Linked DNA regions of Oryzias latipes. The protein of the gene in region 2 purifies or fractionates together with the protein of the main gene of each other region. This does not show direct contact. Links are inferred from orthologs where the notes say so. Each region holds a gene or a part of one and is shown on either strand. Other genes may lie near its edges.

Evidence for each region.
Region 1: the proteins of nkx2-1 (region 2) and foxa1 purify together in Homo sapiens (affinity purification with western blotting; 3 studies listed by BioGRID and IntAct, with this or other methods). This does not show direct contact. The link is inferred for Oryzias latipes from reciprocal best matches to the Homo sapiens genes NKX2-1 and FOXA1.

Annotation. Positions count from the first base shown.
Region 1 is NC_019880.2:2,255,379-2,259,873, forward strand, and holds the start of foxa1 (hepatocyte nuclear factor 3-alpha), read right to left. Parts: upstream 2,939-4,495; 5' UTR 2,582-2,938; coding exon 2,516-2,581; intron 649-2,515; coding exon 1-648. UniProt on the Homo sapiens protein: Transcription factor that is involved in embryonic development, establishment of tissue-specific gene expression and regulation of gene expression in differentiated tissues.
Region 2 is NC_019880.2:861,034-865,462, reverse strand, and holds the start of nkx2-1 (homeobox protein Nkx-2.1), read right to left. Parts: upstream 2,869-4,429; 5' UTR 2,645-2,868; coding exon 2,278-2,644; intron 1,970-2,277; coding exon 1,296-1,969; 3' UTR 1-1,295. UniProt on the Homo sapiens protein: Transcription factor that binds and activates the promoter of thyroid specific genes such as thyroglobulin, thyroperoxidase, and thyrotropin receptor. Crucial in the maintenance of the thyroid differentiation phenotype.

The DNA.
Region 1 (4,495 bases), about 1.4 Mb from region 2:
GTAGCAGCCGTTCTCAAACATGTTCCCCGAGTCCGGGTGCAGGGTCCAGTAGGAGCCCTTCCCTGGCTTGTCCGGGGACCGCGACACCTTCACAAAACAGTCGTTGAAGGACAGCGAGTGACGGATGGAGTTCTGCCAGCGCTGCTGGTTCTGCCGGTAGTACGGGAACAGGTCCATGATCCACTGGTAGATCTCGCTAAGGGTCAGCATCTTACTGGGGGCCTGCTGAATCGCCATGGTGATGAGCGAGATGTAGGAGTAGGGCGGCTTGGCGTGGGGGTAGCTCCGTCTGAAGGTTTTGTTGTCTCGGGCTCGGTTCAGTCCGGCGCCGCTGTACGCCATGCTGGGGCTCATGGCGGGGCTCATGCTGCCATACGGGTTCAGGCCCATGGAGGCCTGCTGGCCCGACACCGAGCTCATGCTGGACGGGCTCAGCGCCCCGCCCATGGAAGCCACGCCCCCTCCCAGACCAGACATGGCCACCGGAGCCGAGCCCGCCATCGCCCCCACGGGCGAATGGGTCAGTCCAGAACCACTGTAGGACATGTTGAAGGAGCCGGGGGTGGTTCCACTGCTGGACATGTAGCCGGACATGGAGCCCATCCCGAGCCCAGAACCCATCCCAGCGCCGCCCATCGGAGAGTATACCTGCAAACAGAACCAGAACCAGTTATCCCCCGCAGGCCCACCTCACATGTGCAGAACCAAGAGCTGCAAGGCCCAGATAAGATACTGAGCAGAACACAGGAAGTTTCATCAGTGGGGTTTGATACCAGCCTGACCCGGTTAATAAAAACCCAAAAGAGATTCCATTCATGATTATCATCATTTTTACACAAGTTTGAGATGAAACGGCGCTTTCTGAGCAGCTCAGAATGTTCTGGATCAGCAGGCTTTATCCGGTTCTGGACCAGATTTTTTTCAAAGGAACCATCATAGTGGTACGCACCTTCCAGAACCACAGACTGAACCCGAGACGTGAAATTTTGAAGAGGATGAAAGCTCTAAACCCATTCCAATGACGAGAACCTCTTTGTTCTGATCCGGTTCTAGTGTGAAGGGACTACGTGAGGTTCGTGGGTCCAACACATCTAATGAGTTTCATGATAAAGTCCGATTCAGCTGCAGCTGGAGGAGAACAGGTTCTGTTCCCACGTGTCTTTTATGGCCCATCAGAACCCCAAGGTCACGTTATTGTTATGTTATTATTACTCATTATAATATATTATTATTATTATATTATATTACAATTTTATTTTAACAGTTTACTAACATTTACTAAATGTACCAAAAATATAGAAATTATTGAATATTTTGATAAACATTAATTTAAATCTAAAACAAAAATAAAAAGCTCCTTGTGTTTATTAAAAAAAATGATGGTGAATATTTTCCCCAGAAATAGATTTATTAGAAAGACGGAGTCGAGGTTCGTCTGCGTGTTCGGACATGTGGATGAGGTTCGGTCCGTTTGCCGCCGCTGCGGGCCTTCCCGCCTTCGGTCTTCACGGAAGCAAAGGACGGAAGAAACGAACTTTGGATGAAATGTTGTGATTTGTAAAAAGAAAAAAAAAATTAAGAGTGGTTCAGACTGAGAGAATATTATTTATTTATTACCGTTAATAATTGTTATTAATAATTAATTCATCATTGAGTAAATTCACAAAAACATTTATTAATGCTGCTCAGATCCATTTAATTTCGGGGGATATTATTTTATTCCTTTTTAAATAAAAAAATGAATGTTTTTATTCATACATATATATCTATATATATCTATCTATATCTATATCTATATCTATATCTATCTATATCTATATCTATATCTATATCTATCTATATCTATATCTATATCTATATCTATCTATATCTATATATCTATATCTATATCTATATCTATCTATCTATCTATCTATCTATCTATCTATCTATCTATCTATCTATCTATCTATCTATATCTATATATATATATATATATATATATATATATATATATATATATTGTAATGTAATAAATAAACAAATATTAACCCGTTTTCCCTAACATTTAGATCAAAATTGTTTAGGTTTAAACTTAAAATCATTTAATTTAATTCAAGCAAACGGCAGTAAAATAACATAAAACAAAATGTTACGAGTAAAAAGAGAAATTAATCCGAACTCCGTGTTGGAAGGATAATTGCGTTTTAAAACCTTTAATCAAATGATTTTTTTTTTTGTAAAGATCGGGCACGCGCGCTTTGGAACCAACAATAACATTTTCAAAATTAGTCATTTTTTAATTTTATTTTATAAACAGATAAAACCTTTAAAATATTTTTTAGAGCGGATTATTGTTATTTTTTAATTTTAAACACCTGCAAAAAATTTGGATCCGAATTTTGAATTTTTAGTTTATTTTTTTTCTTTAAATTTTACTTTTTCTAATAAGCATCTTGTTACTTTTCTTTTTTCTTTCGCCTCGCGACCCGTCCTCAAAGTTCTTTACCGGTAGTTCGGCGCGCGCGGTACCGACCTCCTCGCTGTAGTAGCCGGTCCAGTCCGGAGCCTCGTGCCCTTCCATCTTCACCGCACCCAGCATGACGGGGTCCGCTCCGGGTCAATGGCCCCCTGTCCCGGTTCGGTCCGTTGTCGTGCGTCCGCGCCGCGCCGAGCCCAGCGAGCCGCGCGCACAGAGGCAGAGTGAGGAAGAGGAGGAGGTGACGAAGGTGACCTGCGGGCTGATGTGACGCTCCTCCTCGCGCAGGTCCAGCCCCCGCGCCCCCCCCGCCTCCTGCTTCCCCCCTCCTCTATGATCAGCGTCGGACCAACTGGATGGGTTGGGGGGGGGGGGGCTGTCACGTGGTGGGGGAGTCGAGCCGGAAACTCACCTGCGGGTCACGCGGACAGGTGTATAGTTGTTTGCTCGAGCTCACATCCGGTTAGTCTCACGAAGTGACGGTGGGCGGTCCTGTCAAAGTGGAGATGCCTTCTGTAGGGGCTGGAACTGTGACGGAACCGAAGGTCCAATGCAAACTCAAAGTCTCTAGAACCAGGCGGAAGGTTCTGGTGTCCGGACGGAACTCAGGTCAGGAGAAAGTCTGCAGATTCCTCCTGAAAGAGTTTTTTATCATCATCTGTGAAGTGACCATGGTGGGCGTGGCCTCTGACCGGAAAGAGGCGGGGCCTAAAATGTTCAGAAGAAGAGACAATCATGAAAACAGGAACCGGTTCTGTTCATTGATCTGCCTCAGAAATACGCGATAAATGAGTGAATTTGTTGTCAAGGCAACAGAAAGATGGAGCACAGGTCACAGGAACATTTATCTGTTACAGTTTTAATAGCTGTTCCTGTCGCTCTACGCATGCGCAGCGGTGGATGGGTTCGATTCCTTTTTCGCTCTTTGAGGCCCAGAAGAAGCTAACTACAAAAAAAGAGAAAATGTCATGAAATATTAAAAATAAAAAAGGACGGAATGATTTCAAATGAAAGTAATTAATCATTTTTCTAATTCTTTTGTGTTAAATATTCTTTTTTTTTACCATTAAAACTTTTATTTAATTGAATGAACATTTTCTTGAAAAACGCCACTTATGTCAGAAATTTGTTGACTTTATTGAAAAAATGTTCTTACAAAGTAAAATATTCATTTCAATATTTAACTTTGTAAGAAATTGCCTCGAAGTGTTTTACTAGTTTTTTTTCACTTATTTATTCAATATTTTTTTACAGTTTCTGTGATATAAGCTTTAATGTAAAAGTGCTTACGTTTAGTTTGTGTTAAAGGCACGTTAAAAATATTAATTATGATTAAACTGTCTGCTTTGGTTGGATCTCTGTGGTTCTGATCTCAACAAATGTTCAGAAAAACGTTTGAAGGATTTTAAATAGTTTTAGATTTTTAGGATTTTAGAAAATCAGTCGAAGTGTTCCTCTTTACTTTTCACTATCTCTGTTCTCATGAGAACTTTGTTGTTGTCTTTTAACCTGTTTTTTGTAAAAATGCTTTTGTTAAAAGTTCTGTGTGGTTCTGAGACCCGGTCCAAGAGTTCTGACGGGAAGAACGGGTCTCATTTCCACTGACAGTGTGTGGATGTTCGGCACCAGGTGAAAACTGGACAGGAGCGGTTCTGGTTTCAGTGGTTAGGGTCCAGAACTTGTTCAGGCCCATTCTTCTCCTCGCCTCCTGGACTGCGTCAGACCCGGGTGATGGAGCTGGTTCCGGTTTCGGTGTGACTCAGTACCATAAATCCTGTAGCTGTCAGTCAGGACGGCGCTCCACGGTAATTATGATGTCACTGCAGAGACTGGAGGACTTCGGGACCAGACCTGGACCTGAACCTGGATGTGATGCCCCCCCCCCCCCCCCCCCCCCCCCCCCCGGGGACAGCGAGAGGGTCACAGGGAGGGTAAGGTGTGTTTGGGCTCAGGCTGAAAGACGGCGTGTGTTCTGATCGTGAGTCAGAGCTTTAATTGCAGTTCCTCAGCTTCCCGCAGAACCGGTTCACTTACGCG
Region 2 (4,429 bases):
GATCCGCAGGCCTCAGAGCCCACGGATCACATGACCCGGAACGTTTCCGTCAGAACCAGCCGCTCAGAAAAATCAGAAATAATCCAAAGCAGAGTTTTGGCTCCTCCCGGATGCCGTCCGTTCCCGCTCAGTTCAATCACGTTCGGGTCAAACTGCCTTCGTTGTTTTTCAGACTCAGAAATGATGAAGCCGAGAATCCTAAACAGACCATTTATTCTTCTATTTCCTCCGTCGCTTAGCAACCACGTTGTTTACCGTCGAAGATACGGCCGCGCCGCGCGGGAGAATAGAGTCTAATGGTTATTATAGGCTGCGCGGTAATAACCCGCAGAAAAGACAGAGATTACGGGTCTTTATTGCGGTCAATTTCAAAAGGCGCATCAGAAAATACGAAAATGTGCAGCAACTGTTTGTGTGTTTTTGTTGTTCCAACACAAATTTGTGGATTGATTATTGATCAGCTGCGCCGTCACTGGAGAGGAATTTGTTTGCTTTCAGATTTTCCCCGATAAGGCGCCTTTGTGCTCCGACTGATGCTGACAAACCTCACCTGAGTGACTCACGCGGAGAGGACGCGCGCGCGCGCGAAAGGAAGTCAAAAAGGGCGAGTTTACCTGCGGGGCGCAAATGTTTGCGCGCCGCGGCCTCCGCGATAAGCGGGGCGATCTGTCACGGAGTGAAAACGCGCAGATAAGAGGCACTTTCACAATAAGAGCCGCTTTGATCCGCCGACGGCTGGATTTATGACGTAAAAATACTTTTTAAGTAATGAGGATAAATATTTGTGTATCGCTTCATGATTTAAAGCGCCCTCATTAACATGTGTCAGAAACTTTACCTGTTTTTTCCATAATTTATTTATAGGACTATTTTTCAAATTTCTTTTTAAGTTACAAAGAAAAAAACGTACAAATACCAGAAACGACAACAAACGAGCAAAAACCTCCAAAACATCTGTACAACAAAGATCTAAAATCCAAACCTCGGACAGAAATATACACGCTACTCTACTCTTACATGAATTTCTAGGATAAATCAGAGTCGTGTCGTGGGTTCGTGTCCGTGGGGAGGGGGGTGCAGCAGTCCACTCGTGTTCATGCGCCCGGCTTTTTCCTCTTTTTCTCTGAATATAATTTACATAAATAATTCCCAACATTTTCACATCCGCAGTTTCTGGGAAAACTTTTTCCACGCGTGGTCTTTGAAAAATGGCGGCTTTTCTGTTGACATTTTTACAATAATCTTTAAAAAGAGAAAAACTTTGCGTGTTCGGGGGTCGCAGCCGGCGCCTCCTGTCACCACGTCCTGCCGTACAGCAGCGCGGAACACTGCAGGGCCGAGCCGTACTCCGCGCCGGGGGAGTTGAGGTGGGAGAGGCCGGCCACCTGGCTCTGCATGGACGGCGGACTGGACGACGCCAAGTCCGGGGAGTGACCCGTGCTTCCCACCTGCTGGCTCTGGTGCCCGAGGCCGGACGCGCCGCTGGACATGATCATGACGTTGCCTCCTTGCTGGTGGTGCGTCTGCGCGGAGGACGTGGGCGTGTGGCCGCTGCCCTGGCACGGCTTCCCGTCCTTCACCAGCACCGGCACGGCCACCCTCCGCGGGGACTGCTGCTGCTGCTGCTGCTGCTGGCAGGAGCCGCCGTCCTGCTGCAGGTGCTGCTGCGACGCCTTGTCCTTCGCCTGCCTCTTCATCTTGTAGCGGTGGTTCTGGAACCAGATTTTCACCTGGGTCGGGGTGAGGTGGATCATGCTTGCCAGGTGTTCCCTCTCCGGCGCAGACAGGTACTTCTGCTGCTTGAAGCGCCGTTCCAGCTCGTACACCTGCGCCTGGGAGAACAGCACGCGCCGCTTCCGCCTCGGGGTGCTGGACAGGGAGCTCATGCCTTTCCCCACATCTGCCAGGGACCCGAGGCTCCCCATGCTGCCCATGTTCATGCCCGACGACGAGCCCATGAAGCGGGAAACTGAGAAGATGAGAAGCGCGGTCAGATTTTACGCAGGAAGAAGCAAAAACTAAATTTCTTTGTTGATGAATAAAAATGTTTTAAAAGTTTTGGACTCAAACGCGAAACGAGCAACAGTAATGTGTCATTTTCTTTAATTTAAAAATCATGATTTAGAAATTTTAGATAAAAAAAAGTCCTGTTTTAATTCCATGTTTTATCCAGATGTTGACATCATTTCATGAAACCCTCGCGCGCTTTAGTTGCTCTGAAACGAGGCTCCAATCTCTGCGTAAATCCCAGATTTGGCGCGCGCGCTCGATACTCACTGGTGGAGAAGCGCGGGTCCGGGTTGGCTCCGTACCAGCCGGTGGCCGCGGCGCTGCCCCTCATGCCGTCCTGGTAGGAGGGCAGCTCGCCCATGTTGCCCAGGTTGCCGTTACAGTAGCCCCCCATGGCGGTGTGCGACAGCTGGGAGACCCCCGCCGCGGTCATGTGGTAAGCCGCCGACACGGTCCCGTTGTGGCCCATGTGGTGCTGCTGCATAGCGGCCTGGGAGACCTGCGGCTGCCGGTAAGAAGTGAGAGGCGCCCCCAGGTTGTTGTTGTCCATACTTACTTTCTTATAGCTCTCCTCAAGGGGACTCAAGATATCGGAAACAGAAAAAGGAGTCGTCTGCTTGGGGCTCATCGACATTGTTCTGTGGCTGGAGAGGGAGAAATTAGAAGGCAAGGCAATCTCTCCTTCTCTCTCCTCTCCTTTTTTTTTCTTGGCCAAAGCCCCTCTGGTTCCTGTTGTCTCAACGTCGACTCTGCTCGATGAAGACGTAGGAGAGCGCCTCAAGTCCGCCTTAATTGGATTGAGTGGGAGCTCGGCGCTGGCTCGGGTTTGTTTTAGCTGGCAGCCAGGTTTCGGGCTCCCGTCAGAGGCGGGGCCTCTGCAACAATACCAAACAGCTCTAACCTCCTTTGGCTGCGCGTAATTTCACTTAGAAGACAGGCGCTCCCTCCCACCGACAACAACATACGCCGCGTGCGTGCGTGCGTGCGTGAGCGCGGCCGGAGCCGCGCGCCAACTTTCTGACTTGTTGCTGCCGCGGCCGCAGCTCGGGGCTGCAGTGACCACAATGCACTTTATTAACTGTAGTGATGTTTACGAGGGCCTCTTGATGAAAGGAGGCCTGTGTGGACTCGAGGGTCGGAGGAGCACTCCTCAGCAGAACCACTGACTTTTAATGGCCACGAGAGGCCTCCGTGATTGCAGGATTGTTTGTTGCTGCCTGCTCGTACTCAGACATGCAAAAGTGCGCTCGCGGGGAGGAAAATGACTGATACTGATAAGTAAATAAATACACATCCGCGCGTTAAGTGGATGCGTAAATGAACCCCCCCCCCTCTCACTTTTTCCTCCCCTCCTTTTGAGATCATTGGGCGCAGCAGCGTGTCACCTAATGTCGGATGCACGCTCGCGGGTGAGAGACCTGCTAGAAAAGGAAAGGGGGAGAAATCAAGTCTGGAGCAGGAGAGGCTCTCATATGAAGTTGGTGGTGTTCAAGTAGCTGCTCTCCTGCAGCACAACGCCAGGTAGCCCTCAGCAGCATCTTGCCTTAATGCTCAAGGAGCCATTACAGTTTAACCCAGGCATGGGGAAGATTTTACGCACAGGAGCCATTTGAGCTGAAGCAGCGGAACAGGAATGGAGCTCTTGATGGCTCCAATTTTACAGGCAGAATGTGCTTCCACCTCCCAAAATAGAAAGGATTTGTATTATTTTCACGTGAGAGATGAAGGCGCCACACTTTCTCCATGAGCTTTAAAGAAACCTGATTTTATTTTAATTCAGAATTTTGTTTTAATCCCGGCAGGTAAATTATTCTGTTTACATCAATTTAGTTTGAGCTCCCTATTATAGAATGACAAAAATACAAATGTTCCTTTCAATATTATTCCAACAAATTGTCTGGATAAGAAAATTATTTCTTTTTAAATGTTCAGACCTCAGAACTCCCGAAACCGTTTGGGATCCGTTCCCGCCGGTGGACACGCGCCGCTGCGGGTGCTGCCCCCGCAAACCCTCAGATCTGCGGTCTGCGTTCTAACCGCACAGCTTCAGCTGCGGGTTTTTACCCCGCACAGCACAGCAGCCGCAGCTGCGGCGCGGCAGAACTTAGGCCGCAACAACCGCAGAATTCTGCGGCCACGCGCAGCCTGTCGCGCGCTCCCTTAATTGAAGAACTTCGTAAGACATTTAACTAAATGGGAACCCCCCCCCCCATTCTGCAGCGAGGCTATTACAGCCAATTAGCAGCAATTAGTTGAAATGCTGCGGCTAATTCCTCAGAAGACTGAAGGGGCCGTGGGCGCCCGTGTGACCGAGGCCGCGCGAGGCGCGTGTTTATCAACCGGGCGTTGTTTGATATAAAGTGGGGGGTGGGGGTGGGGGTGGGGGAAGACATTTTCCGCTGATTGTCCTTAAAATGCT